Linked DNA regions of Macaca mulatta. The protein of the gene in region 2 interacts with the protein of the main gene of each other region in a pairwise test. Links are inferred from orthologs where the notes say so. Each region holds a gene or a part of one and is shown on either strand. Other genes may lie near its edges. The genes, in order: BCL2L12 and GSK3B.

Region 1 (15,685 bases), on a different chromosome or scaffold from region 2:
ACTCATGCCTGTGATCCCAGTACTTTGAGATGCCAAGGTAGGAGGATCGCTTGAGCCCGGGAGGTGGAAACCAGCCTGGGCAATGTGAGACACCATTTCTACAATTTTTTTTTTTTTTGAGACAGAGTCTCACTCTGTTGCCCAGGCTGGAGTACAGTGGTGTGATCTCAACTCACTGCAACCTCTTGCCTCCCGGGTTCAAGCGAGTCCCGTGCCTCAGCCTCCCAAGGAGCTGGGATTACAGGCACCCACCACCATGCCCAGCTAATTTTTGTATTTTTAGTAGAGATGGGGTTTCACCATGTTGGCCGGGCTGGTCTTGAACTCCTGACCTCAAGTGATCCACCCGCCTCGGCCTCCCACAAAAATTCTTTTTTAAAAATTAGCTAGGTGTGGTGTTGCATGCCTTTAGTTCTAGCTACTAGAGAGGCTGAAGTGGGAGGATCACTTGAGCCCAGGAGGTTGAGGCTGCAGTGAGCCATGACAGTGCCACTGTATTCCAGTATAGGCAACAGAGCAAGACCCTATCGCCAAAAAAAAAAAAGGGGTGTGTGTGTGTGACAAACCACTGGTCTTTAGGTAGATGAGAAACCAGCAAGAGAGACTTGAAAGGAGCAATGGGAGGAGAAAAACAAGAAGAGGGTGGTGTCCTAGACACAGGTGAAGTTAGACTGTACCTTTCTGTGGAACTCGCTAGAAAGACTCCATGACCATCATACAGCATTAGGTAGAATAACCAGATTGTGCAACAAGAAAAAAAAAAAAAAAAGCAAGTTGCTGGACTATTTACAGATATTCTCTCAAATATGTTACATGTCCAGGAGACAGGTTCTTGTAGGTGCTCCAAATAAATATTTCTAGAATGAACTGGTTCCTTCCTTAATTTGTGTAAGCCACAGAAATCTCTGAACCAAATCCCCTCTACTTAGAACTTCAGTTCTGGAGTGTAAGAACAGACAGTTGAACACTTTGTAACATTTTTAATACAAAAAGTTTTAAACAATTTATTTTTGGCAAAAACAGGTAGGGCGACCACCACCCCACAGCCCTGAGCTGAAAAGGCAGGCTTGGAAAAGCACACGAAGAGGGCAGGGACATGAGGTGTCATCTTGTAGCAGCTTCTGAGAAAGAGCTCAGTCCAATGGCAAGTTCAAGTCCACGGGTGAGGCGGCCAGGATGCCCTCCTGGAAGGGAAAAGTGGCAGAGCCCTGTGAGCAGGGCAGGTATTTCCCCCCTACAGCAGCGTCCACATCAGCCCTGTGAGATCAGAGACAGGAAGGCGAGGAACCAGAGAGCAGAGAGGGACAGACACCCAGAGAAGGGCACAGGGACGAGGGGGACAGAGTCCTGGCAGGAGGAGGAAAGGCACTGGAGTGGGGTCAGGCAGAGACCCAGACAGAGTGAAGAGTCGAGGGACAGAGTCAGAGACGGGGAAGTGTCTTGGGATTTGAACAATTCAGAGCGGTGGTTTCGTGTACAAATCCAGATTCCAACACGCTGCACGCTGGGGACTTTCCCTCTCCACCCCCACAAGATGAGGATAGTAAGAGCCCCATGCGGTTGTAGTGGGTTTAAATGGGATCATTCCATTGAAATCCCTGGCAGAGGACCTGGCCCACCAAGAAAGCTTGCCTGCTATCGATCCTATTGAAAATTTTTTTAAAGAAATTGTCCAGGCGTGGTGGCTCATGCCTGTAATTCCAGCACTTTGGGAGGCCGAGGCAGGTGGATCACTTGAGGCCAAGAGTTCGAGACCAGCCTGGCCAACATGGCAAAACCCCATCTGTGCTAAAACTACAAAATTAGCTGGACATGGTGGTGTGCGCCTGTAACCCCAGCTACTCAGGAGGCTGAGGCAGGAGAATCACTTGAACCCGGGAGGCGGAGGTTACAGTGAGCCAAGGTCGTGCCACTGCATTCCAGTCTGGGCAACAGAGTGAGACTCCGTCTCAAAAAATAAAATAAAGGCCGGGCGCGGTGGCTCAAGCCTGTAATCCCAGCACTTTGGGAGGCCGAGATGGGCGGATCACGAGGTCAGGAGATCGAGACCATCCTGGCTAACACGGTGAAACCCCGTCTCTACTAAAAAATACAAAAAACTAGCCGGGCGCAGTGGCGGGCGCCTGTAGTCCCAGCTACCCAGGAGGCTGAGGCAGGAGAATGGCGTGAACCCGGGAGGCGGAGCTTGCAGTGAGCTGAGATCCGGCCACTGCACTCCAGCCTGGGCGGCAGAGCGAGACTCCGTCTCAAAAAAAAAAAAATAAAATAAAATAAAATAAATGAGCTTCTTTGCTGAGCCCAACACTTATATCCAGTCCCCTCAACATGTGCGATGTGTTCTGATCTTACTATAGACTGGACCATCTCCAGTCCTGCTCCTCACCCCCATCGCCCCTGTCCCCACCCCCATAGCCCCCATCTGTCCCCCATCTTCTCAGGGAACTTAGATGTCGCCCTGCAGCTGCTTAGGCCAGCATCCTTTGGCCTGTCCCCACATCTGGCCCATTAGCCAAATCTGTCAGCTCCACCGCTAAGTTAAATCCAGCATGCTCCACTGCCCCTGACTTGGGTCTGATAGCAGTCTGTCTCTAGTTGGCCGCCAGAGGGCACCCGTTAACGCCTAAATCAGCGACTATCTAGGCTGCTCAGAGTCCTTGGCTTACCCGGAGTCAAAGTCCCAGTTGTCACTCACCGTGACCACAGGGTCCCGGCTGGCCCAGCGCCTCTCCTCCTCTCAGCTCTCGCCCACTCACCCTGCTCCAGCCCTACTGGCCTCCTCCTCCCTGCTCCTCAAACACACTTGACCAGCTCCTGCCAGGGAAACCGGTTCCATCCAGAGCCTGGCTTGTGTCCCTCTCTCGGTGAATACCCACAGCGACCCCCGAGGCAGGTAAATGAGACGGTGCTCACTGGACCGGGGGGAAAGTGTCACTCAGGGAGACTGCAACAGTCACCAAGTCACAGGGCCAGTATGCTGGAGCCCAATCCAACTCTGAAACCGGCACTGGAGATAAAGTAAGAGCGGGGAAGACTTTTGGGTCTTCTGAAGCTGATGTGTTAGAGGCAGGAGATGCCAGGAAAGAAAAATAAACCAGAAGATAAGCAAAACAAGTCAATTCCACCAGCTGTTAGAAGGCGCAAATTGCTATGGAAGGAAAAGTAGAGCAGGAAGCGGGAAGGAGGGTGGTGGGGGGGTGTGGAGGTGGCTGTGATAGTCAATGGGGACCTGGGAAGGCCTTGTTGGGGGTGAAACCAGACCCCACCAGAAGGGGCAGAGGACGGAGGCGGGGCTTCCCCGGGAGGGCATCCTGGCAGGCGTTGTTGGAACGGCAGCGAGTAGACACATAAAACCACATCAACAAATGCCCGCATGCCAGGCAGTGCACAGACAGCTTACCAGATTGACCCCATTTTAACCCTCAGAGTGACCCTCTGAGGTAGCATGACTACTGTCCCTACTTTATTTTTTGAGGCAGGGTCTCACTGTGTCACCCACACTAGAGTACAGTGGCGCAATCATAGCTCACCACAACCTTGAACTCCTGGGCTCAAGTGATCCTCCTGGCTCCTCTGCCTCCTGAGTAGCTGGGAGTAAATGTGTGAGCTCCCACACCTTGCTAATTTATTATTAATTTTTTTAATTTTTATTTATTTTTTGAGACAGAGTTCCGCTCTGTCTCAAGAGTTGAGAGACAGTTGCCCAGGCTGGAGAGTGCAATGGCACAATCTCGGCTCACTACCACCTCTGCCTCCCAGGTTCAAGCAATTCTCCTGCCTCAGCCTCCCAAGTAGCTGGGATTACAGGTGTGCACCAGCACGCCTGGCCAATTTTGTATTTGTAGTACAGACTGTCACCATGGTCAGGCTGGTCTCAAACTCCTGACCTCGAGTGATCCACCCACCTCAGCCTCCCAAAGTGCTGGGATTACAGGCGTGAGCCACCACACCCAGTTTTTATTATTTTGTTGAGACAACAGTCTCACTCTGTCACCCAGGCTGGAGTGCAGTGGCGTGATCTCAGCTCACTGCAATCTCTGCCTCCCAGGTTCAAGCGATTCTCATGCCTCAATCTCCCGAGTAGCTGGGATTACAGAGACCTGCCACAAAGCCCGGCTAATTTATGTACTTTTTTAGTAGAGACGGGGTTTCACCACACTGGCCAGGCTGGTCTCAAACTCCTGACCTCAGGTGATCCACCTGCTTCGGCCTCCCAAAGTGCTGGGATTACAGGCGTGAGCCACCACACCTGACCCTGGCTAATTACTTTCAATTTTTGTAGAGATGGGGGTCTTACTATGTTGTCCAGGCTGGTCTTGAACTCCTGGCCTCAAATGATTCTCCTGCCTCGGCCTCCAAAAGTTCTGGGATTACAGGCATGAGCCACCTCGCCCTGCCTCTCCCTGAGTAATCTCAGTCACTGGTTTCACGCTCACAGTATTAGTGTACCCAGTCGCTGACGCCAGGCATAGCATCCGCACTCATCACTGCAGTCCTGGCATACAGCAAGGGCTCAACACAGAACGAACGCAGTGGAGCTGGGAGAATACCTGAGGTCTGAGGGGAACCTAAGAACCTCTATCACAAGACAGTTGGGTAAAATGAGGCCCGCAGAGAGAGGCTTCAACGGCTCACCCAGCCCCCGTGGGCCTGGATCCAGGGCGTGAAGCTGTGCACGTGCTCCACGCTGAGTCCGGCCAGGGTGCCCCCCAGCCCGGCCACGCGCCGGCTCAGCTCCATGGCCAGGGCCAGGCGGGCCAGGGGCTCCGGGGAAGGAGGCGGCGGCCCGGGGCATGCTCGGCTTGGGTGAGAGTTGTCCTCCCGGCTACAAAACAGCTCCACCAGGCGGGCGAAAGAGCCGGAGGACAGGCGCACCAGCTTGCTGCGCAGGACGGGGTCCGAGGCCAGCTGTAGGGTGGAAAAGGCAGGGTCTGCGTCAGCAGCGCCCCTGGGGCCAACCAACGGGGCGGGGGGGGGGGGGGGGGGGGGCTGGGAGGCGTGACTTCCCGGTTCAGGATCTTTCTAGACGCTAAAGTTCTAGGCCACCCCTCATCCATATTAGCCAATCAAGCCGGACTCTAAGGTCTCTGCCAAACTACCCCCACCCTCGGGATACGGGCCTAGAACGCCTGTCGCTAAGCCACGCCCCTGCCCTTGCCTCAAGAGCCAATCAGGCCCAATCTCTATTGTAATGGAGTTAATCTAGCCACACCCCCGGTAGCCTTTCCCAGGGGCCTAGTGTCTACAACAATCTTGCCCTCTACCATTCAATCAGTATTAGAGGACCATGTGCCTTGCCCAAGCTCCTGAGCCAATCAGATTCCAGGACACAGCCACAAGCCAGGGCTCCTCTGTTAGTACATTTTCCCCTACATTGTAAGCCAGGCCCCTTCTATGCTCAGTAAGATTTTAGACACTCCCCCATCCCCACATTCATTCCCTTACTTCCCCAACCTGGTCAATCTCTTCTAGATGTTTTTGATGGCCACATCTTCTGAATTTAGGCCACACCCCTCTAACAATCAATTAAAACCACTAATTTACAGTACAGTACTACCCTAACCATACTCCTGTCGTTCAACCATTCTTTTTTTTTTTTTTTTTTTTTTTTTTTTTGAGGCGGAGTCTCGCTCTGTCGCCCAGGCTGGAGTGCAGTGGCGCGATCTCGGCTCACTGCAAGCTCCGCCTCCCGGGTTCCCGCCATTCTCCTGCCTCAGCCTCCCGAGTAGCTGGGACTACAGGCGCCGCCACCACGCCCGGCTAATTTTTTTGTATTTTTAGTGGAGACGGGGTTTCATTGTGTTAGCCAGGATGGTCTCGATCTCCTGACCTCGTGATCCGCCCGTCTCGGCCTCCCAAAGTGCTGGGATTACAGGCTTGAGCCACCGCGCCCGGCCTTTTTTTTTTAAGACAGAGTCGGCCGGGCGCAGTGGCTCACGCCTGTAATCCCAGCACTTTGGGAGGCAGAGGTGGGCGGATCACCCGAGGTCAGGAGTTCAAGACCAGCCTGGCCAACATGGAGAAACCCCGTCTCTATTAAAAATACAAAACTAGCCAGGCGTGGTGGCATATGACTGTAATCCCAGCTATTGGGAGCTACTTGGGAGGCTGAGGCAGGAGAATCGCTTGAACCCAGGAGGCGCAGGTTGCGGTGAGCTGAGATTGTGTCATTGCACTCCAGCCTGGGCAACAAGAACAAAACTCTGTATTAAAAAAAAAAAAAAAAGTCTCTCTTCGTCACCCATGCTGGCGTGCAGTGGTGCAATCTTGGCTCACTGCAACCTCCGCCTCCTGGGCTCAAGCGATTCTCCCACCTCAGCCTTCCAAGTAGCTGGGATTACAGGCATGTGCCACCGCACCTGGCTAATTTTTGTATTTTTAGTAGAGATGGGGTTTCACTGTGTTGGCCAGGCTGGTCTCGATCTCCTGACCTCAAGTCATCTGCCCACCTAGGCCTCCCAAAGTGGTGGGATTACAGGCATAAGCCACCACGCCCAGCCTCAACCCTTCATTGAAACCTTGTCCCAGCCTCTTTCCACCTGACCATCCAAAGAAAATACAGATCCAGCTTCTGATCCCAGTGCCCCACCATTCCGCAACTCTTGTCCTTGCCAAGGGGTGGGACAGACGCCCATCACCTTCTGGTTAATGACTTCTGCCTCCTCCTCCAGCAGGGCCACCAGCCTCCGCAGTATGGCTTCCTTCTCTGTGGGTGGGGGACCCTGTAATTCTGGAGGCAGAAGAGAATTTGGCTGGGGGCAGAACCCTATCCTCCTACTCCCATCCTTTTCTGGGGCTCCTCCGTGCCTCACCTGGGCTAGGTGGAGATTTCAGTTGCTCTTGGACCAGCTGTTCCAGCCGCTGAGCCACCAAGGCATAGAAGTCTGGAGTAGCTGGGCCTGGGGTGAAAAGAGTTAATGACAGGTTTCCAGGACATTGGAAACTTATGGATTCTCTCCTTCCCCCAACTACCGTGGCAGGTGGCAATGATTCCCATTTTATAATGGGGTAAGCTGAGTCCCAGTGAGAAAACTTGGTAAAAAATGCCAAAACCTTTGTACTTTTCATTTTATCAGATCCTCAAACTGCACTTAGAATGTCAGAGCTGGCCGGGTGTGGTGGCTCATGTCTGTAATCCCAGCACTTTGGAGGCCGAAACGGGAGGGTCACTTGAGGCCAGGAGTTTGAGGCCAGCCTGGCCAACATAGAGAAACCCCGTGTCTACTAAAAGTACAAAAATTAGCTGGTATGCTGGAGTGCATCTGCAAGCCCAGCCACTCGGAAGGCTGAGGCACAATAATCACTTGAACCCAGGAGGTGGGGATTGCAATGAGTCGAGATTGCAACCCTGCACTCCAGCCTGGGTGACAGAGCTCTGTCTCCAAAAAACTGTCAGAGCTGAACTAGACCTCGAAGATGATCTCATCCAAGGAAGGCAAACACAAGACACTACTGTTAGTATCCCCCTTCCCTCACCCACTTCAGACATCACCAATTGATCAAAACACTTCCTCTCCCCAGCTGTGAACTCCTTTTCAAGCTAGCACTTGCAGCAGCCATTACTAGTCTGTCCAGGTTCACACCTACGGGGAAACTTGTGGGTCACCTTGATCAAGTCCAGTGACCTCCTCCCCAATTCCTACTCTGCTATTGGAAAAACAGGGGAGCAAGGAAGAGAAAGCATTTTCCCCAGAGTCACGCAACTAAAACAGCCAGGGAGATGTAATTGAAAACCAGCCCTCCTACCCCTCTATCAGGGGTATTCCTGGCTACAAAAGTCCTAGGGGCAGGGAAGTAGTTATGGAAGGAAAGAGACGACAACCAGATGGACCAAATGCTCTCTGAAAGCCAACCCACAGCATTGACAGATAGAAATCTAACTGGGGAGAGGAGACGACAGGATGGTTCCATCCTGAAGGCTGATGCTAGAGACTCCACACAGCCACCCCCTGAGTGATCTTAAACTAGCACCTTATCCCGTGTTCTGCCAGTTTCATAGACGATCATGGAAATCTCTTACCAGGCTCTGAACCATAGCAGGGGCGGATGGGCAGAGAGCAAGGCCGAGGGGACTCCGGGGGTGCTGCTCCTCGCCCCAGGGAGCAGGGAAGACATCTTCGAAGGCGGCTCAGGAAGTCTGTTGGCTCTTCTTGGGCAGGGCTTCTGGGGAAGAGGACTTCAGAGAGTGACCCCACCAAAGATCCCCTGCAAGCAGGCTCTTTCCCCAACTCCCTCCCTCCCCCGCTGAGGACCTCTCTCCAAAACAGAGAATAGAGCCAGATATAAAGAGAGGAGACAGACTGAGACCAGGAGCAAGAGTTAGGAGGGAGCCTCAAATGCTGGCCCCTGGGGGAGAAGGGCAACTCCTCTTACCTGAGTGGAGTTGGAACAGGAGACCCGGCAGCCTCACCACGCCTAAGGAAGGCAGCTAGGACCCTCAGCGTGTCTTCCCGGAGCCCCAGCTCTTCAGAGCCTGCCATGGAGGCACCTGTGAGAGAGGGGACTAGGGACTGGACTCCAAGGGGTTAGCAAGAAGTGGAGGCTTGGTTGGGGACCAGGACTTGTGAGTCCCAAGGAAGGCCTGGACTCCTGGGTCCTTTGGAAAGTGTCGGTCTAGGGGCCTAGACTCTTGAGTCCTCAGACGAAAGAGGGGTCAGTAAAGACTCTTTGATCCAAGGAAAGGTGGGGGGGCTGGGTGCCCAGATTCGTGGGTCTAAAGGAGGAGGGAGCTGGGGTCCTAGACTCCTGAGTCTTAGAGAGAAAGGAACTGGAGCCCCAGACCCTTAGGTCTCCCAGGAAGAAGGGGCTTAGCGCCCCAACTCCTGGATTCTATAAGAGGCATATGCCAAACTACTGAAACCCTTAAAGCATCGGGAACTACCAATCCCAGGAGGCTTCAGGGCAAATCTTCCCCTCGGTCCGCGCTTCTTCGCCGCGCAGCCTGCTGTGAGGTGTAGTTCCAAATCCCCGACTCCTGCTGGAATCTAGAGGACCCTGGACCCTTGGATGTCGGAGAAGCGGGACTGGGGTGCCCACTACTGGATCCTGGCCCGCTCCTCTTCCCTCCTTACCCCACCCCTCGTCAACACCCCGCTGACCTGGTCCGGGGCCTCACCGCCGCCTCCTCCACTCAACCTGCCGCCGCCTCCACTCAACTTGTACAAACTTTATTAGTTCAACTTTCCCGCGCCTGCGCACTGGGCCGGGTCGGTAACTGGCCCAACGAAGAAAGGGCGGAACGCTGGATGCACGCTCAATTTGCATGTGACGCTCCCAGCATGCCTCTGGCCGGAAACCCAAAAAAGGGCATAGGGGCGGGGACAGCCCCGGGCCCCGCGGGCCGTCCGTTCGGCTCCGGGGTGTGTTACCCAAAGAATGATAAAGTTGGTTTTATTTCAAGAAGTCGATCGAAAAGAAAGCCTCAGCGTCTAGAGTTCAGCTGACGGGAAAGGGGGTGCGCAGCCTCGAGTTTGAGAGCTATCCGGAGCCCCAAAACAGGGGTGGGCGCCAGCTCCCTGCACGCCCTGAGCTTCTATCGTAGGTAACGCGGAAGAGCCTGGGAGAGCGTTAGTGGCGTCCGAGAGCGAGGAGCGGGAAACAGGATGGGTCTGCACGGAGAGTGGAAAGGCAGGCTGTGTACTCTGGGGAAAGTGGAGCAAGGAAGGAGCTACAGTGGCCGACGCTGGAGGTCGGCTGGAGAAAAACTAGAAAAAGTAGGGAGGAAAGAGGAAAACAGGAGGCGTCTACACTGAGGGGTTCTACAGAGGGAAGGATGGACTCCGTACATGGGTGTAGTTCACTCCCGAAACCTGAGGCGTGCTCTGTCCTGGAGGAGGGGGGCTGGCAGTCGAGGAGGAATTGGATGGAAGTTCTGTGTTGGAAATGTTTCGGGGGATCTTCTGTAGGGGGACTGGGGAAGGGGATCTACACTGGGGTAAATAGCAGGAGATAGAGGCTTACACGTGAATCGATTCTGCACTGAAATAACTAGGGAAAGAGGATGCTACCCTGAAAGTGGGGATACTTGCTTTCGATGATGTCGGGGAGAGAGGAGGTCTATACTGGCGGAATTGAGAGAGTGGAGGGTCTGCACTGAAGACACTGGGGAAGGGTATGCCATGGATATGGGAAGGAACCCTAGCGGATTAAGGAGCCTCTCGGGAAGATGGGAGGATGGGAAGAGGAGGTTTCCTGTTTGTACCCCCGAAAATATGGGTGAAGGACCTGTGCCGTGGCCCGTGAGAGGGAGGGTTCTGGGTGCGGAAACTCCAGGCCAGGTGGGTCCGGGGGAGGCCGGTCGCGCCCAGAAAATGCCCTATACGCGCAGGCCGGACCATGGGAACCCCAAAGCCACGGATCCTGCCCTGGCTGGTGTCGCAGCTGGACCTGGGGCAACTGGAGGGCGTGGCCTGGGTGAACGAGAGCCGCACGCGCTTCCGCATCCCTTGGAAGCACGGCCTACGGCAGGATGCACAGGAGGAGGATTTCAGAATCTTCCAGGTGCGTGAGACGACCGGGGACGCTGGAAACCCTGAGCTGCGCGCGGGGCAGAAAGGACTCCTAGCGGGCCGGGCTGAGACGGCGGAGGTATCGCCCGAGGGGCTGGCTCGTGCCAACGTTGGTGGGTGGGGCTAGAACGGGAGGGGCGGGGCTAGCCGGATCAGCTGACTGATGGTGGGACGCAAGCAGGGTTGGAGCTGCCCGGTTACGGCAATAAAACCGGGAAAGCCGGTTAGTACGCAAAGGAAATGAATCCTGGGGTTTTGGGGCTCTCTAGGGGCCGGGGCTCTTGGTTGTAGGATAGATACTGGGGGATGGTTTTTGAAACATCAGAGGTGAGACCTGGAGCCCCAAATCTGGGGTTCCTAACCACTGAATTAGTATATGCCAGAGGTGGTAAACAGTGTGAGGGGCGGGGTTATCACAGAGGGTGTCGCGGGGCAGGTGGTGCACGGGGTTAGACACCAAGTTGGACTTGGAAGCCTGGCTTAGAAAGAAGAGTTTTTTGGGCCGGGCGCCGTGGTTCACACCTGTAATCCCAGCACTTTGGGAGGCCGAGGCGGGCTATCACCTGAGGTCAGGAGTTTGAGACCAGCCTGGCCAACATGGTGAAAATACAAAATCATTGGTGAAAATACAAAATTATCTACTAAAAATACAAAACTTAGCCAGGTGCGGTGGTGCCCGCCTGTAATGCCAGCTACTCAGGAGGCTGAGACAGGAGAATTGCTTGAACCAGGGAGGCGGAAGTTGCAGTGAGCTGAGATTGCGCCATTGCATTCCAGCCTGGGTGACAAGAGTGAAACTCCATCTCAAAAAGAAAAAAAGGCTTTTAAAAACTCGAGGTGGGGGATGGAGGTAGATAGGACGGGGGGATTTGTGGATGGAACTTGCAGACTTAGAACTTGCCAGGGAAAGAGGGTGGTGTTAGGATCCAGGAGACAGGGTTAGGGCCCCAGGAGCAGGATCTAAGTCGTCCTCCCCCACTATCCTGACACCACTGTTGCCCCAGGCCTGGGCCGAGGCCACTGGTGCGTACGTTCCCGGGAGGGATAAGCCAGACCTGCCAACCTGGAAGAGGAATTTCCGTTCTGCCCTCAACCGCAAAGATGGGTTGTGTTTAGCAGAGGACCGGAGCAAGGACCCTCACGACCCACATAAGATCTACGAGTTTGTGAACTCAGGTCTGCCAGATCGGGGTTCATGTGGGAGGCTGGGGTCCCAAGGGTTCCTGGCACCCCTACTCCCCTCACCACCTTTCTCAACAGGAGTTGGGGACTTTTCCCAGCCAGACTACTCTCCGGACACCAATGGCGGAGGCAGTACTTCTGATACCCAGGTGAGAATGTGCCCAACCTTCATGCCCCTCAGTCTCTGTCGTGTCCCCATGGGCCTTGTCCTCTCCCTGTGGACCATCCCCCCGCTTCCCTGCCTCCAGCCTGCCCCTTACCTGAGCCAGTGGTGGCCCTGTCTGTTCCTGCTCCAGTCTCCTCAGGAGAAAATTCCGAGTTTTCACCCTGCATTCAAGGCCCTAGCACACCTTCCCAGGATTTCATGGACTTCGGCAGGGGGCTGTCAGCCTCTTGGGAACTGAAAACTCCCTCACCTTGATCCTGCTGAGGCCTGAGCTGGGGGAGCATCCCCTCTGAAATTCTACCCAGCCTGCCCCGCCCAGGTCTTACCTGCATAGAGCCAGATCCTTGGGTTGGAATGGTAGCACCTGGCGTTCATTAAGAGTGTTTGGCTGTTGATGCCATGGCTGGCTCTGTCCCCATGCTGGAAGCCCCTTGAAGGCAGAGCTCAAGCCTGACCTCCCTGCATTGCTGAGAACAGACCTGGTCCATATGAAGTCTCCAGAAAAGACTATGGAAATGCCTGATTCTCTTTCTTTGTTTCCCTCCAGGAAAACATTCTGGATGAGTTACTGGGTAACATGGTGTTGGCCCCACTGCCAGATCCAGGACCCCCAAGCCTGGCTGTAGCCCCTCAGCACTTGCAGAGCCCCAGCTTGGACAGTCCCACTCCCTTCCCAAACCTGGAGCCCTCTGAGAACCCACTGAAGCGGCTGTTGGTGCCGGGGGAAGGTGAGTGTCAGCTGCAGGCTGGGAGGGCTGAGGTCTGGGCGGCAGCCCCTGATTCTCAATCTCTCTCCCCTTCACACGGCTGCTGCCACTGCTCAGAGTGGGAGTTCGAGGTGACAGCCTTCTACCGGGGCCGCCAAGTCTTCCAGCAGACCATCTCCTGCCCGGAGGGCCTGCGGCTGGTGGGGTCCGAAGTGGGCGACAGGACGCTGCCTGGATGGCCAATCACACTGCCAGACCCTGGCATGTCCCTGACAGACAGGGGAGTGATGAGCTACGTGAGGCACGTGCTGAGCTCCCTGGGTGGGGGACTGGCTCTGCGGCGGGCCGGGCAGCGGCTCTGGGCCCAGCGGCTGGGGCACTGCCACACATACTGGGCAGTGAGCGAGGAGCTGCTCAACAGCGGGCATGGGCCTGATGGCGAGGTCCCCAAGGACAAGGAAGGAGGCGTGTTCGACCTGGGGCCCTTCATTGTAGGTGAGTGAGATGGGGGCTTCGCCCTGCCCAGTAGAAAGCAGACTGCACAGTGGTTAAGAACTCAGGATTGGCCGGGCACGGTGGCTCACGCCTGTAGTCCCAGCACTTTGGGAGGCCGAGGCGGGCAGATGACGTGGTCAGGAGTTTGAGACCAGCCTGGCCAACATAGTGAAACCCCATCTCTACTAAAGATACAAACAAATAGTCGGGCATGGTGGCACACGCCTGTAATCCCAGCTACTCGGGAGGCTGAGGCAGGAGAATCACTTGAACCAGGGAGGGAGAGGTTAAAGTGAGCCGAGATCGCACCACTACACTCTAGCCTGGTGACAGAGCCAGACTCTGTCTCAAACAACAACAACAAAAACTCAGGATTAGGACTGAATTCAGACCCTGGCTGCCCTTGGCCCACTGTATAACCCAAGGCAAAGGACTTTGCCCTGAGCCCGTGGAATCCGAGGACGGTCTCCTCTCTGTACCTGCCTGCCAGCACTGGGGTGAGACACAGGCCCAGTACACAGCATGCTCGGGGAATTAGCTGCCGCTGTCATCATTATCGTAACTAATGATGGTGGACAGACCAATAGCAGGAAAGCTATGTCCCTTAGGGTTTCGCTGTGCGGTGGCACTTTCTGCCATGATGGAAATGACAGTCACCTGCACTGTCCGGTACAGCAGCCACTAGCCACAAGGGCCGAGCACTTGGGTGAGGCGAGTGCCACCAGGACACGATTCGTTTTTTTTGTTTGTTTGTTTTTTTTGAGACGGAGTCTCGCTGTGTCTCCCAGGCTGGAGTGCAGTGGTGTGATCTCAGCTCACTGCAAGCTCCGCCTCCCGGGTTCACGCCATTCTCCCGCCTCAGCCTCCCAAGTAGCTGAGACTACAGGCGCCCGCCACCTCGCCCGGCTAGTTTTTTGTATTTTTAGTAGAGACGGGGTTTCACCGTGTTAGCCAGGATAGTCTCGATCTCCTGACCTCGTGATCCGCCCGTCTCAGCCTCCCAAAGTGCTGGGATTACAGGCTTGAGCCACCGCGCCCGGCCTACGATTCGTTTTAATTGATTACAATTTAAACTGAAATGACCTCACATGACTAATGGCTGCAGTTGGACAGTGCGGCCTCAGAGGGGACTGAATGCCAACCAGCTTCTCCTCCAGATTCACTGGCATCCTTGGAAGCCTGGGCCCCCTACTCTGGGCCTGTTGTGAATGCTGAGGCTTGGGGGCTTGCGGGGGTGGGGGGCCTTCCAACAACCCCACCATGATGGGAGGGAGGGAGGGAAGGAGGAGGAAGTATACAAACAGAATCATGGGGACTTTCCCCAAACAAGCAGTCCTCTGGGCGAGGCAGCAGAGGGCCTTAGGTCAGGGGAAATGGTGGGGATTGCCATTCAAGTTTACGGGGAAGGGCGTGTAGAGGGTCCTCTTCTCATCACTGACTAGACTCCTGGGCCCCCAGATCTGATCACCTTCACAGAAGGAAGTGGACGCTCACCACGCTATGCCCTCTGGTTCTGTGTGGGGGAATCATGGCCCCAGGACCAGCCATGGACCAAGAGGCTCGTGATGGTCAAGGTGCCTGCAGACCTGAGTCCCTGGGGCTGAGAGGGGTGGCCTTACAGAGGGAAGAGGTTGCTCCCAGGAACTCCAACTCCCAGAGGGCCCTCTAAAAGATTGCAACTTCCAAGATCTCAGCAATAACCAGTTTTTCATCCCCGGGAGCTCCTTCCCACGGCCTCACCTGCAGAACCTGCTTTGAACTCTCTAAACCAGTGGTCCCCAAGCTGTTCGGCACCAGGGACCAGTCTCACGAAAGATAATTTTTCCACAGACAGGGAGGGGGTGGTTTGGGGATGAAACTGCTCCACTGCAGATCATCAGGCATTAGATTCTCCTAAGGAGCAGCCTAGATCCCTCGCGTGTGCAGTTCACGATGAGTTCGTGCTCCTCTGAGAATCTAATGTTGCCGCTGATCTGACAGCAGGCAGAGCTCAGGCAGTAATATTCCCTCACCCGCTGCTCACATCCTGCTGGGCAACCTGATTCCTAACAGGCCGTGGGGGGTTGGGGACCCCTGCTCTAAACCATGTCGAAGCTGGTGGACTTCAAGTTTTAGCTGCCATTGTGAGGCCATGGCTGTGGCTCCCACGAGTTGAGATCACAGACTGCTCAGCCCTGACATCTGGGAATACTCTAGCCTCATATGAGTGTGTGTGTGTGTGTGTGTGTGTGTGTGTGTGTGTAGAGGGAAATCTACAACTCCCAGCAGCCCTGGGCCTATGGTTCATCCTGGGTTATAGCAGAGGCTGCAGGAAGTTGTGTGTGTGTGTGTGTGTGTGTGTGTGTGTGTGTGTGTGTGTGTGTGTTTCATCCTGGGTTACAGCAGAGGCTGCAGGAAGTTGTAGAGTGTGTGTGTGTGTGTGTGTGTGTGTGTGTGTGTTTCATCCTGGGTTACAGCGGGGGCTGCAGGGAGTTGTAGTTCTCCCAGCCCTGTGTGTGTGTGTGTGTGTGTGTGTGTGTGTGTGTGTGTGTGTGTGTGTGTGTTTCATCCTGGGTTACAGCGGGGGCTGCAGGGAGTTGTAGTTCTCCCAGCCCTGTGTGTGTGTGTGTGTGTGTGTTTCATCCTGGGTT
Region 2 (15,027 bases):
ATTCAAGCTCACAAATATATCAGTTCTTCCTATATTAATTTATAAATAAATCCCAATTTAAAAGATCAACACTTTTTTTTATAAAGTTAGATGAACTGATGCCAAAGTTCATACAGAAAAATAAACAGGTAGGAAAACACCAAAAAGAAAAGCTACGAGGGCAGATTAACCCTATCAGTCATGAAAACATACTATGAAGCCTCTATAATCAAAACGGTATAGTAGTGACACAGGAATATGCAAACAGCCTAGCGGAATAAAATGGAAAGTCCAGAAATAGAGCCGAGCACATGTAGAAATTTAGCATATAGTAACAGTAACATCTCAAATAACTGGAACAAAGATAGTCTTTCTACTAAATTGTACCCAGACAAGTAGTTAATGATTTAGAAAAGATAAAATTAGATCATAATTCATACCACACATAGGAATAAACTCCAAATGTATCAGGGATTTAAATGTAAAAACTGAACCCTGATAACTACTAGAGGAAAATATAGATGACTTACCTGAGGATAGCAGGAAAGTTTTATAATAACACAAAATCCAGATAAAAGAGCAATAAATTCAACTGCATAGAGGGGAGGAATGACTCTTACACAACAAAAACCAAAACAAAACAAAAAAAACCTACCATACACAAAGTAAAAATTACATATATCACACCTAAGTATAAATTCCATAATAAAGGACTCTTCAGGGTTGATTGGGAAAAACCAAAATCGCATTTTTAAAATGGGCCAAAAAAAAGACAATTCATACAGACTCACAAAAACAAATAAAATGGACCTTGAATACATGAAAAGATGTTTAAGTGTACTCAAAATAGGAAGATTGTAAATTAAAACTACAATGAGATACCATTTCTCACCTATGAGATTAGCAAAAAATTTAAAAAGTAAGGCAACTTTTATAGCCAAAACTATGGGCCAACAGGCACTCATACTTAACTAGAGAGAATGCACATTGGTATAACCTTTATGGAGGGGCATTTAGCAGCTGTAAAAAGGATGAAAAAAAAATCTCTGAACTGATATGCAATGAATTCCAGGAAATATAACTTAAAGAAAAAGCAAAGTACAAAAGAGTATCTCCAATATGCTACCTCCTGTGTAAGGAAGAAAAAAAATGCATAAATGAACAGGTATGTGTAAAACAAAACTGAGGAAAAGTAAGCCAGAACATAATGAGGTTGGCCACCTACAGGGAGCGAGTGGAAATAAAACAGAAAGAATTGAGAAGAAACTACACTAGATTTCTGACTTTTGGAACCATATTAGTGTTTCACAGAGTGAAAACATAAATAATTTTTTTTAATCAAAAAGAATGGGGGCGAAGTTCTAAGAAGTGATACATACAGAAACAGATGAACCTAACTACTTCAAATTAATAGTCTATGCTGTAGGGAAAATTTAAAATTATAAAAAACAGAAAAATCCAAATACTTTTTGAATATAATATAAAATCCATATGCCTTTCAAACTAAAGATAAAAAACACACAAGCACTGAACTCTGCCCCCAGGGGTATGAGTTAGCAGTTCTGAAACTACCTTGTAAATTCTAGGATTGAGCAAATAAAGTAAATATATTGTGGATGACAGCAGTCAGGTTTTCTCACTTCAGAAAGAAGAGTTACAAATATAGAAATACAGAAGGCTAGAGTGAACTCTGTGATGTTGCTCTGCAATTAAAAGTATTAATTTTTAATAAAAAGAAATACAGAAAAAAACACGTGTGAATATGCTTGCATGCATGTGCACACACATACACCTATTGTCTAAGTTCTGTTGGCTAAGAGGATCTAGATCCAGCTTGAAAGGGCTTTCACTAGCCAAATCTGAAGCAGTTTTTTTTTTTTTTTTTTTTTTTTGAGGTGGAGTCTCACTCTGTTGCCCAGGCTGGAGTGCAGTGGCACAATCTCAGCTCACTGCAAGCTCCACCTCCCGGGTTCACACCATTCTCCTGCCTCAGCCTCCCTAGTAGCTGGAACTACAGGTGCCCGCCACCACGCCCGGCTAATTTTTTCTACTTTTTAGTAGAGACGGGGTTTCACCATATTAGCCAGGATGGTCTCAATCTCCTAACCTCGTGATCCGCCTGCCTCAGCCTCCCAAAGTGCTGGGATTACAGGCATGAGCCACCACGCCTGGACTGAAGCAATCTGGGTATCAAAATAAATGACTAAGATTATAACCCATTTAATAAAATAAGAGTCAATGAGTCCATATGATATATACAAATAAATGAGAGAAGGGAAAAGCTTTCCTCATAATCCTTACAGTAGAATCTAATTAATAAAGAAGGAAAAAAAGAATTAGAAAATCACCATTTGTAGCCATTACTATAACTGATTCTAACAAAAGCTCATTAATGCATACTGAAACAAGTTGGTAAAAGCTGTATAAGAAAAAGGTTATTTACATAATCTAAAAGTATTTCCCTACAGATTCCTTATTAATGATGAAGAGAAAAACAGTAACTCTACAGTAAAGAAACCTAGCAAACACTACCTTAAGTGACAGAAGTCAATATCATCATTAACTAGACAGACAGACATCATGGGTCTCCTGATATAATGCCTTAAGAAGAAAAAAATAATTTCTATGATATTCTTTCTAAAAATGAATATGCTGAACCTAATTATGAGGAAACATTACACAAACCCAAATAGCTGTCCTATACTATTCAAAAACATGAATGTCATGAAAGACAGCAAGTGAGGAACTCTTCCTGGTATAGAAGACTAGAGATATCACAACTAAACACATGACCCAGGATTTTCTTGTGCTACAATGGACATTTTTGGAACAACTGGACATATTTCAATAAAGCCTGCACATTAGATAATACTATTGTATAATTGTTAATTTCTTGATTTTTAAAATAATTATTATGTGGTTACATAAGCAAATGTCTCTGAGTTTGGGAAACAGACACTGAATAATTTAGGGATAAAAGAGCCTCACACTTAAAAGTTGCATTCAAACATTTCAGGAAATAATATGTGCGGCCAGGCACACACATCTATAATCCCAGTACTTTAGAAGGCCAAGGCAGGAGGATCACTTAAGCCCAGGAGCTTGAGACCAGCCTGGGCAAAACAGGAAGACATTGTCTCTATCAGAAAAAAAAAAATTCAAAACTAGCTGGATGTGGTGGCGCACACCTATGGTTATCTATTTGGGAGGCTGAGGTAGGAGAATCACTAAGCCTAGGAGTTGGAGGCTGCAGTAGCCATGACCATACCACTGCACTCCAGCTGGGTTATATGGCAAGACCTTACCTGAAAAACATAAAAATAATATATAGAGAGAGGAAGAAACTGTAAAAGTGAGTGTGATAAATATTAGTATTTGGAAATCTGGATAAAAGGAAATCTGGATAAAAGGAAATTATTTATAGTAATGGCAATGTTAAGCCTGAAATTTTATATATATATATATATATATATATATATATAATTTTTTTTTTTTTTTTTTTGAGACGGAGTCTCGCTCTGTTACCAGGCTGGAGTGCAGTGGTGTGATCTCAGCTCACTGCAACCTCCGCTTCCCAGGTTCAAGTGATTCTCCTGCCTCAGCCACCATGCCCAGCTAATTTTTGTATTTTTTAGTAGAGACAAGGTTTCACCATGTTGGCCAGGATGGTCTTGATCTCCTGACACTGTGATCCACCCGCCTGGGCCTCCCAAAGTGCTGGGATTACAGGCATGAGACACCATGCCCGGCCTAAGCCAGAAATAATTTATTTATTTTTATTTTTTTTTGAGATGGAGTCTCCCTCTGTCCCCCAGGCTGGAAGAAAATTATAATGAACATGTAATAATATTGAGAAAAGCAACATAGTAAAGTACCCTCCTAAAGGGCATCAGCACATTAAATGCATCTAGAAGATGCCCAAGTTCAAAACAAACGGAGGAGGCAGTGTTCAAATGGTTAAAACAAGACGTATTTACATGGAGGAAGACTTGTACTTACATATAAGATGTATTTGCATGGAGAAAGACTCCCATTCCCAAGAGCGACAAAAAAATTACTACACATAACTAGATAAAATAAGTAAGAAAAGTTTAAAACCTACATAATTATAAAGTTTTACATCAAAAATTGGATTAATGCAGAGAATTATCACATTTCTGGATGGGAAGGCTGAATATTGTAAATCTGTACATTCTGTCCAACTAATCTGTAAATTTTACACGATTTTAATCAAATCTAAAGTTTGTTTTTGTTTTGTTGAGGTTGCAGGAGAAACATCACAGGCTAATGATACTTGATACACAGATTTATTAAGAGAAATACTCATTTGTTAACACTCAAACTACGCTGTTAGTTCTCATCATCAGAGAAGTGTTACATAAGCCAAAATGGACAAATCAGTGGAAAAGAAAAGGAAACCCAGAAGAAAATCCAGTGTATATACGGTAACATAATACATGGTTTTTAAAATGCCATTTGCCCACCAGTGGGAAAAGGATAAACTTTATAAAAATGGTTTCTGAGACAAATGACCTACTACTTGGGGAAAGGTTAACTTATATTACTACTTTATACTACATCCCAAAATATAACCCCAGAAAGATTAAAGAAATATGGCAAAATAAAATTCCTAGAGAAAAATGACATTATTTATCAGATACAACAGGCCCTTTCTCAGCATTATGCCAAAGCCCAAATCAACAATATCTGAAAAGCAAAAGGTATCACAAGCAAAGTCAACACAAACAAATAATTTTTTCTCACAGATGGTTCATATTATTGTGGAGGCAGCTTCTAGGATGGCCCTAAATGATACCTGCCTCCTGGTATTCACACCCTTGTCTAATCACCTCACCAATATTAGGTTAGAAAAAAACTTTTGGTTTCTGTCTTGGGCTTACTATTTTTCCAGTGGATCCCTTGCCATGTGGGAAGCTAACTGGCAAGACCTCAGAAAGCCCAGTGAACAGGCCCGTGTGGCAAGGGACCAAAGTCTGCCGACGATCACACAGTACACTTGGGGACAGATATTTCCTCCTTCAAACAAACCTTCAGATGAGACTGCAGCCCTGGCTGATGCCTGGATTACCGTCTGGTGAGAGGCCCTGGGCCAGAGGTTCCTAGCTAAGCCATGCCTGAATTTCCAACGCACAGAAGCACTGAGATAATAAAATCTTTGTTGCTCTACACTATTACATTTTAAATGGGTTTTAACAAATGAGTAAGGAAGACACACACTCTAAAAGGGGGTAAAAAGAGTCACAACATGAAAAATGATGTTGTAAATTAAAAAAATTTTTCAGGGCCAGGCATGGTGATTCAGACCATAATCCCACCACTTTAGGAAGCCAAGAGGGAGAACCAGTTTAGGCCAGGAGCTCGAGACCAACCTGGGCCATGTAGTGAGATGCATCTCTACAGAAAATTTAAAACAGAAAAGAAAGTAACAAAAATAATTTTTCACCTACAGAATTGAAAAACATAAAAATACTCCTAATATCTAAAGGCTACACAGGAAATGGGCATTACTCATATTCAAATAAGGTACATTTAAATGGATAAAATCTAACTAGAAGGCAGCCTATATCAAGGTTTAAAGTGCTCTCCTACTCTTCAACCCTAGAATTCTACTTTTATAAACTGTATTCTGATAAGGCATATATATACCCTGTTTGGTAGGGAAAAAAAATTTTAATAGCTATCAATTGAACAATGGCTAATTAGGGTATATCCACACAATAAAATATAATGCAACCATGAGAGAATGAAATAAAACCAATCTCTCTCTTTCTTGAGAAGGAGAAAGAGGGTGTGGTTTAAATACTTTGATAGAAAGAGGTATGACACTGAGAATCTGATACTATGATATAGAAAGAGGATTAATACTGTGAGAGAAAGAGAGAAGGGGTAGAGGGGTTTGATACAGTGAGGATAAAATGTGTTAAGGCACTGCAGAGTCTGTCCAGATTCGAATCTTTGCCCATCCGTCCACTTGCCAACTGTGTGACCCTGGACAAGTTAATTTAAAATTTCTTTGTACTTAGGCTTCCTTATCCAAATGATAACAGTATCAATCACACAGTACTAATGGTAAGAATTATGTAAAACTACACATGTCAAAAAATACATATAATAAGCAAGTATTTGCTATCATCAACTACTAATCCCCCAAAATGGAATGTGTGGGTATTTAGGAGACAAATATTTAAAAAATAGAGATGCTGTCATAAAAAATGTGGAATTTCCTAGTTTATGGACAATAAGGGCTCAAGGAATTTAGAACAGCAAGATCTCCGTAGCTGACTTGAATCATCTGGTAAGTTTCATACAGGAAGAATTTGACCTGAGTTTTCACAGATGCACAGAATTTACATAGCAGGAGAATGGGAGTGATAGAAACGCTGAATAAAAGCAGAGTGGTCATAGAGAAGAACATATTTCAAGGCCAATAATATAAAAAGTTTGGAAGTTAAGTATCTGGAGAAAATGGAAGACTATGGAAGTTTCTGAGTACACAAGTAAACTAGGCAGGTTTTACTTTCTAGACTATGAAGAGCCATAGAAGATTTATGGGCAAGAGAAACAACATGACCAGTGAAACCTCTGGGATTATTCTAGTCTTAGTATGCAGAAGAGATTAGAAAGGAGAAGACTAAGGTAGACGTTTATAAGTGGTTAAGCCAAATAATGACAGGGTCTGACAAGAATAGTAGTGAAGAGAAAGAAAAAGAAGAGACACAGCCACAAGACAGTATGAGGAAAAAAGAAAATCAAGTTAAACAATGACTGGATATTAGGGATGAGCGAATAGAATAGTCTGAATAACAGTGAATTATAAAACCATTAAAAAGAAAAAGCAAATCCAAAGTTCTGGGAACCAGTAGGAGAGATTTCCATTGAGTCTTAAAAGTTAAGCCGTGGTTAGATAAGATGGCTTGCCAAACTGAGATAGCAGTACAACATTCAGATATCAAGATCCAGTGGGCATTTGACAACATAAGACTAGTACTTGGGGGAGAGGTGAGAACTGAAAACAAAAACAACTGAATTTTTTAAAACTCTTTAGAACGTTCTAGACATTTACAGCAGATGGACATCAGAATGTGGTATAACTGGTGTTAGAACAGAACAGTGATCACTTATTATTATTATATGCCTTCATGTTTACCATAGGTCTTAGCACATAGGAAGCTCTCAATAAAATGTTGCAGAGGTGGGAAGGGTAGGAAAGGGAGCAATGCTGCATAGTGGCAGAGGCTTAATTACAGCAGCCAGTGTCTTCTGGCTCTCTCTGCTATACCACAACATAGAGATAACATCTGAGCTTCCATGCATAGGCTCCCCTAATGAGGTACAGAAAAAGAAAAGAGATGACAAGAACTGAACCTTGGGATTGCTAGTGTCTAGAGGCAGAAGGACAAGAAAAAGGAAGATAGCAAAAAAAAAAAAAAAGTTACAAGAAAAATGAATAGTGTTGTAACATGGTTTGGATGTTTACCCCTTTCCAAACCACATGTTGACATGTAATCTCCAGTGTTGGAGGTAGAGCCCGGTGGGAGGTATTGGATCAAGGGGGTCAACCCCTTATGAATGGGTTAGCACCATCCCCTTGTTGATGAGTGAGTTTCCACTCAGTTCACAGGAGATCTGGTTATTTAAGAGAGTCTGGGGACGGGCATGGTGGCTCATGCCTGTAATCCCAGCACTTTGGGAGGCTGAGACAGGCAAATTGCCTGAGCTCAGGAGATTGAGATTAGCTTGGACAACATGGCAAAACCCTGTTTCTACAAAATAATAACAACAATAAAAATAATAATAAAGTCTGGATCTCCCCCTTCATGCTCTGGCTCAGCTCTCACCATGTGATGCACCTACTCGCCCTTCACCTTCTGCCCGTGATTAGAAGCTTCCTGAGACAATTATTAGAAGCAGATGTCTGCACCACACTTTCTGTACAGCTTGCAGAACTGTGAGCCAATTAAACCTCTTTTCTTTATAAATTACTCAACATCAGGTATTCCTTTATAGAGATGCAAAAATAGACTAACACAAGTTGCATCATGAATTAAAAAAATTTTTTTCAAGAAAGGAAGCATAGGAAACTACACAAAATACTTATATGCTACAGGCAGTGTTCCTCTGGTCTACATCAACACAGTACAAGGGTGGGGACAGGTCGCTTTTTAAAGTATAAATTAAGAAACTTTAACTTACCTTTCACAGGATTTATATATATATGTCATTTATAATGACTACAAAAGTAATACTGCAATCTTCAGTGAATTTTCTCTCTACAAAATACACGACTAGAAATAAAATCATTGTAATGCTTGAGCTGGACAAAAATGTGCACAATAGAAGAAATTTGAAGCAAAAGGAAACAACCAAAAAATAATCATTTATGGTACATGTATTATGACAGCAACAAAACACATGAAATACCAGACGTTTTACCTTAAATCTCTTGTCCTGCAATACTTTCTTGATGGCGACCAGTTCTCCTGAATCACAAAGTTTGGCTTGATACACCACACCAAATGATCCATTTCCAATCACTTTAGTGTCTGTATAGCTGACTTCTTGTGGCCTGTCTGGACCCTGCCCAGGAGTTGCTACCACTGTGGTCACCTTGCTGCCATCCTTGTCTCCTAACGGAAGAAAGGAAAAAAAAATTTTTTTTAATGAGAACTATAAGGAATTAAATAGAGAAAATTGCCAACATATACAAGGTAAACTAAATTCTTTCTTTCTTTTTTTCTTTCTTTATTTTTGAGATGGAGTCTCACTCTTGTCACTCAGGCTGAAGTACAGTGGCACAATCTCGGCTCACTGCAACCTCTGCCTCCCAGATTCAAGCAATTCTCCTGCCTCAACCTCCCGAGTAGCTGGGATTACAGGCACCTGCCACCACGTCTGGCTAATTTTTGTAATTTTAGCAGAGACGCGGTTTCACCATGTTGGCCAGGCTGGTCTTGAACTTCTGACCTCAGGTGATCCACCCTCCTTGGCCTCCAAAGTGCTGGGATTATAGGCATCAGCCACCGTGCCTGGCCAAAATAAACCATATTCTTTACTACAAATTATTTTTCGTTTATCACATGTAATTACTTCAATTACTTGTTTTGATTATAAGTCATTTTTTAAACTCCCATGTATTTAGTCATTCCACAGACCAAACACAATGCTTAGTTTCAATCCTATGAGGTAGACAGTACTGTTCCCACATTATAGGTAATAGGAAGAATGTTAGATTTGCCCATGGTCAAATAGCAAATTGTGAGCCCATAAAAGTCTGACCTTATCCATCCAATTCTAAAAGGTCTTAGGGCTTTTCTCAAGATCTTATTTTACTTGAAAATAAAATGTGTGCAAATAAAAATGTTTAATAATTCTGACTCTCTTCAGATCCTTCTGCGTTTAGGAAAGTAAGGCTTTGAGTTTTAAGTTCCCTGAATAATCTTTTTCACAAAGTAGAAGACCTCTCAGAGAAAGCTCAGGTTAAGAAAAGAATGTTAATTTGGGGTTAACAGATATAAAACTTAAATAATCCAATCCATTCTGAACTGAGGCCCAATTACAAGCAGATTACTGGCTCCAGGGTCTCTATTTACTCATAGCTCTCTTCTTCCCTTTTTTGCCTTCTCTCATCCCTAGTAGCAATTCAAAGGCTTTCTTCAATTGAGGCACAAGAGCCACCTCCTACTTGACCAGGCACAGTCCACAGTCACCATGTTGTTTTCTGAATTCTTAATCGATTCTCTGAATTATGCTACCTAGTATCTGATCTAAAAGAGCTTTACATTGTTCTTTTAGTGACTTCAATGTACACAAAAATGTCTACTATTTCTTCTCTCTTCCCTGACAAATCTAAAACCAATTCTCAGTACAATATAAGTCCTCAGGCTCACTTATTGGACTTTTACTTTTTCCTGTTATTCTTCCATTATGACAATTTTCATTTTAAAATACTAACTGAATTCCAACTAACCTAATAAAAGTAATATAATATTTATGAGTATTTTTCTCTGTGAAATATAAATTGCTAGATAAATGAATATCCAAATGCACTAATAAGATATTATAACCAATATTTATATCCATTTAAATTCACAGAAGTATTAATATACACAAAAGCCAGTGAATGTCTGCGACCAATTAACACCTTCGTTTGCAAGATGGCATTTATGGTTGCTTCCAAGATGGCCGAATAGCTCTGGTCTACAACTCTCAGGAAGATCGATGCAGAAGACAGGTGATTTCTACATTTCCACCTTAGGTACATGGTTCATTTCACTGGGACTGGTTGGACAGTGGGTGCACCCCACGGAGGGCGAGCCGAAGCAGGGCAGGGCGTCGCCTCTCCCAGAAAGCGCAAGAAATCAGGGGATTTCCTTTTCCTACCCAAGGGAAAGCATGAGTGACTGTACCTGGAGGAGTGATACACTCCTGCCCAAATACTGTGCTTTTCCCATGTTCTTCGCAACCAGCAGACCACGAGATCCCCTCCCATGCCTGACTCGGCGGGTCCCACACCCACATAGCCTTGCTCACTGCCAGGGCAGCAGTCTGAGATCAACCTAAAATGCAGGAGCTTGGTGGGGGGAGGGGCGTCTGCCATTGCTAAGGCTTGAGTAGGCAGTTCTATGCTCACAGTGTAAACAAAGCAGCAGGGAAGCTCAAACTGGGCAGAACCCACCGTAGCTCAGCAAGGCCTACTGCTTCTTTTACATTCCACCTCTGGGGGCAAGGCATAGCTGAACAAAAGGCAGCAGACAGCTTCTGCAGACATAAACGTCCCTATCTGACAGCTCTGAAGAGAGCAGTGGTTCTCCCAGCACAGCGTTTGAGCTCTGAGAACAGACAGACTGCCTCTACAAGTGGGTCCCTGACCCCCGTGTAACCTAACTGGGAGACACCTCACAGTAGGGGCCGACAGACACTTCATACAGGCAGCTGTCCCTCTGGGACGAAACTTCCAGAGGAAGATCAGGCAGCAATATTTGCTGTTCTGCAATATTTGCTATTCTGCAGCCTCTGCTGGTGATACCCAAGCAAACAGGGTCTGGAGTGGACCTCTAGCAAACTCCAACAGACGTGCAGCTGAGGGACCTGACTGTTAGAAGGAAAACTAACAAACATAAAGGAATAGCATCAACATCAACTCAAAGGACATCCACACCAAAACCCCATCTGTAGGTCACCAACATCAAAGGCCAAAGGTAGACAAAACCACAAAGATGGGGACACAGCAGAAAGGCTGAAAATTCCAAAAACCATAACACCTCTTCTCCTCCAAAGAAACACAACTACTCGCCAACAAGGGAACAAAACTGGACACAGAATGAGTTTGACAAGCTGACAGAAGTAGGCTTCAGAAGGTCAGTAATAACAAAAAATTTCTCCGAGCTAAAGAAGTATGTTCTAACCCATTGCAAGGAAGCTAAAAACCCTGAAAAAAGATTAGACAAATGGCTAACTAGAATAAACAATGTAGAGAAGAGCTTAAATGACCTGATGGAGCTGAAAACCATAGTACAAGAACTTGGTGAAGCACATACAAGCTTCAATACCCGATTCAATCAAGCAGAAGAAAGGATATCAGTGATTGAAGATCAAATTAATGAAATAAAGTGAGAAGACAAGATTAGAGAAAAAAGAGTGAAAAGAAATGAACAAAGCCTCCAAGAAATATGGCACTATGTGAAAAGACCAAATCTACGTTTGAATGGTGTACCTGAAAGTGATGGGGAGAATGGAACCAAGTTAGAAACCACTCCTAAGGATATTAACCGTGAGAACTTCCCCAACGTAGCAAGGCAGGCCAACATTCAAATTCAGGAAATACAGAGAACACCATAAAGATACTCCTCGAGAAGGGCAACCCCAAGACACATAACTGTCAGATACACCAAGGTGGAAATGAAGGAAAAAATGTTAAGGGCAGCCAGAGAGAAAGGTTGGGTTACCCACAAAGGGAAGGCCATCAGACTAACAGCGGATCCATCGGCAGAAACCCCACAAGCCAGAAGAGAGTGGGGGAAAACATTCAACATTCTTAAAGAAAAGAATTTTCAACCCAGAATTCCATATCCAGTCAAACTAAGCTTCATAAGTGAAGGAGAAATAAAATCCTTTATAGACAAGCAAATGCTAGGATTTTGTCACCACCAGGCCTGCCTTACAAGAGCTCCTGAAGGAAGCACTAACCATGGATAGGAACAACTGGTACCAGCCACTGCAAAAACATGCCAAATTATAAAGACCATCAATGCTAAGAAGAAACTGCATCAATTAATGGGTGAAATAACCAGCTAGCATCATGACAGGATCAAATTCACACATAACAACATTAACCCTAAATGTAAATGGGCTAAATGCCAAAATTAAAAGACACAGACTGGCAAACTGGATGAACAGTCAAGATCCATCAGTGTGCTGTATTCAGGAGACCCATCTCATGTACAAAGACATACACAGGCTCAAAATAAAGGGATGGAGGAAGATCTACCAAGCAAATGGAAAGCAAAAAAAAAAAAATCCCGGTCTCTGATAAAAAAAAAAACTTTAAACCAACAAAGATCAAAAGAGACAAAGAAGGCCATTACACAATGGTAAAGTGATCAGTTCAACAAGAAGAGCTAACCTAAATATATACGCACCCAATACAGGAGCACCCAGATTTATAAAAAGCAAGTCCTCGGACACCTACAAAGAGACTTAAGACTCCCACACAATACTAATGGGAGACTTTAATACCCCACTATCAATATTAGACAGATCAAAGAGACAGAAAATTAACAAGGATACTCAGAACTTGAACTCGGCTCTGGACCAAGCAGACCTAATAGACACCTACAGAACTCTACACCCCAAGTCAACAGAATATACATTCTTCTCAGCACCACATCGCACTTATTCTAAAACTGACCACATAACTGGAAGTAAAACACTCCTCAGCAAATGTAAAAGAACAGAAATCACAACAAACTGTCTCTCAGACCACAGTGCTATCAAATTAGAACTCAGGATTAAGAATCTCACTCAAAACCACACAACTGCATGGAAACTGAACAACCTGCTCCTGAATGCCTACTTGGTAAGTAACAAAATTAAGGCAAAAAGAAATAAGTTATTTGAAACCAATGAGAACAAAGACACAACATACCAGAATCTCTGGAACACATTTAAAGCAGTGTTTAGAGGGAAAGTTAGAGCACTAAATGCCCACAAGAGAAAGCAGGAGAGATCTAAAATCAACATCCTAACATCACAATTAAAAGAACTAGACAAGCAAGAGCAAACAAATTCAAAAGCTAACAGAAGACAAGATATAAATAAGATCCAAGCAGAAGTGAAGGAGACAGAGACACAAAAAAACCTCAAAACAAAAAAAAAATCAATGAATCCAGAGGCTGATTTTTTGAAAAGATCAACAAAATAGATAGACCACTAGCAAAACTAATAAAGAAGAAATGAGAGAAGAATCAAATAGATGCAATAAAAAATGACAAACGGGATATCACCACCGATCACACAGAAATACAAAATACCATCAGAGAATACTATAAACACCTCTACGCAAATAAACTAGAAAATCTAGAAGAAATGGATAAATACCTGGAGAATACACCCTCCCAAGACTAAACCAGGAAGTTGAACCTCTGGATAGACCAATAACAGGCTCTGAAATTGAGGCAATAATTAATAGCCTACCAACAAAAAAAGTCCAGGACCAGACAAATTCACGGCTGAATTCTACCAGAGGTACAAAGAGGAGCTGGTATCATTCCTTCTGAAACTATTCCGATCAATAGAAAAAAGGGGAATCCTCCCTAACTCATTTTATGAGGTCGGCATCATCCTGATACCAAATGATACCTGGCAGAGACACAACAAAAAATAAGAGAATTTTAGACCAATATCCCTGATGAACACTGATGCGAAAATCCTCAATAAAATACCGGCAAATCGAATCCAGCAGCACATCAAAAAGCTTATCCATCACGATCAAGTTGGCTTCATCCCTGGAATGACAGGCTGGTTCAACATACACAAATCAATAAACATAATCCATCACATAAGCAGAACCGACACAAAAAACACGATTATCTCCATAGATGCAGAAAAGGCATTCAACAAAATTCAACAGACTTTCATGCTAAAACCTCTCAATAAACTTGGTATCGATGGAACGTATCTCAACATAACAAGAGCTATTTATGACAAACCCACAGCCAATATCACACTGAATGGGCAAAAGCTGAAAGCGTTCCCTTTGAAAACCGACACAAGACAAGGATGCCCTCTCTCATCACTCCTATTCAACATAGTATTGGAAGTTCTGGCCAGGGCAATCAGGCAAGAAAAAGCAATAAATGGTATTCAAACAGGAGGAGAGGAAGTCAAAGTGTCTCTGTTTGACGTCTCAGGCCAAAAAGTCCTTAAGGGGATAAGCAACTTCAGCAAAGTCTCAGGATACAAAATCAACGTGCAAAAATCACAAGCATTCCTAGACACCAATAACAGACAAACAGCCAAATCATGAGTGAACTCCCACTCACAACTGCTTCAAAGAGAATAAAATATCTAGGAATCCAACTTACAAGGGATGTGAAGGACCTCTTCAAGAAGAACTACAAACCACTGCTCAACGAAATAAAAGAGGACACAAACAAATGGAAAAACATTCCATGCTCATGGATAAGAACCAATAATGTGAAAATGGCCTTACTGCCCAAAGTAATTTATAGATTCAATGCTATCCCCATCAAGCTACCACTGACTTTCTTCACAGAATTGGAAAAAACTACTTTAAACTTCATATGGAAACAAAAAAGAGCCTGCATAGCCAAGACAATCCTGGGCAAGAAGAACAAAGCTGGAGGCATTATGCAACCTGACTTCAAACTTTACTACAAGGCTACAGTAACCAAAACAGCATGGTACTGGTACCAAAACAGAGATATAGACCAATGGAACAGAACGGCGGCCTCAGAAGTAACACCACACATCTACCACCATCTGATCTTTAACAAATCTGACACACAC

The links.
Region 1: the proteins of GSK3B (region 2) and BCL2L12 interact in a two-hybrid assay, tested with the Homo sapiens proteins (2 studies listed by BioGRID and IntAct). The link is inferred for Macaca mulatta from reciprocal best matches to the Homo sapiens genes GSK3B and BCL2L12.

What each region holds. Positions count from the first base shown.
Region 1 is NC_133424.1:62,112,509-62,128,193, reverse strand, and holds BCL2L12 (bcl-2-like protein 12), read right to left. Parts: upstream 9,231-15,685; 5' UTR 9,096-9,230; intron 8,999-9,095; exon of another isoform or gene 8,879-8,998; intron 8,486-8,878; 5' UTR 8,478-8,485; coding exon 8,371-8,477; intron 8,161-8,370; coding exon 8,018-8,160; intron 6,897-8,017; coding exon 6,810-6,896; intron 6,728-6,809; coding exon 6,636-6,727; coding exon of another isoform or gene 6,587-6,635; intron 4,906-6,586; coding exon 4,633-4,905; intron 1,185-4,632; coding exon 1,134-1,184; coding exon of another isoform or gene 1,105-1,133; 3' UTR 969-1,104; downstream 1-968. Other genes in the region: IRF3 (interferon regulatory factor 3), read left to right, coding at 10,333-10,584, 11,510-11,681, 11,766-11,836, 12,401-12,581, 12,678-13,055, 14,514-14,629.
Region 2 is NC_133407.1:163,720,733-163,735,759, reverse strand, and holds part of GSK3B (glycogen synthase kinase-3 beta), read right to left. Parts: intron 8,628-15,027; coding exon 8,434-8,627; intron 1-8,433. UniProt on the Homo sapiens protein: Constitutively active protein kinase that acts as a negative regulator in the hormonal control of glucose homeostasis, Wnt signaling and regulation of transcription factors and microtubules, by phosphorylating and inactivating glycogen synthase (GYS1 or GYS2), EIF2B, CTNNB1/beta-catenin, APC, AXIN1, DPYSL2/CRMP2, JUN, NFATC1/NFATC, MAPT/TAU and MACF1.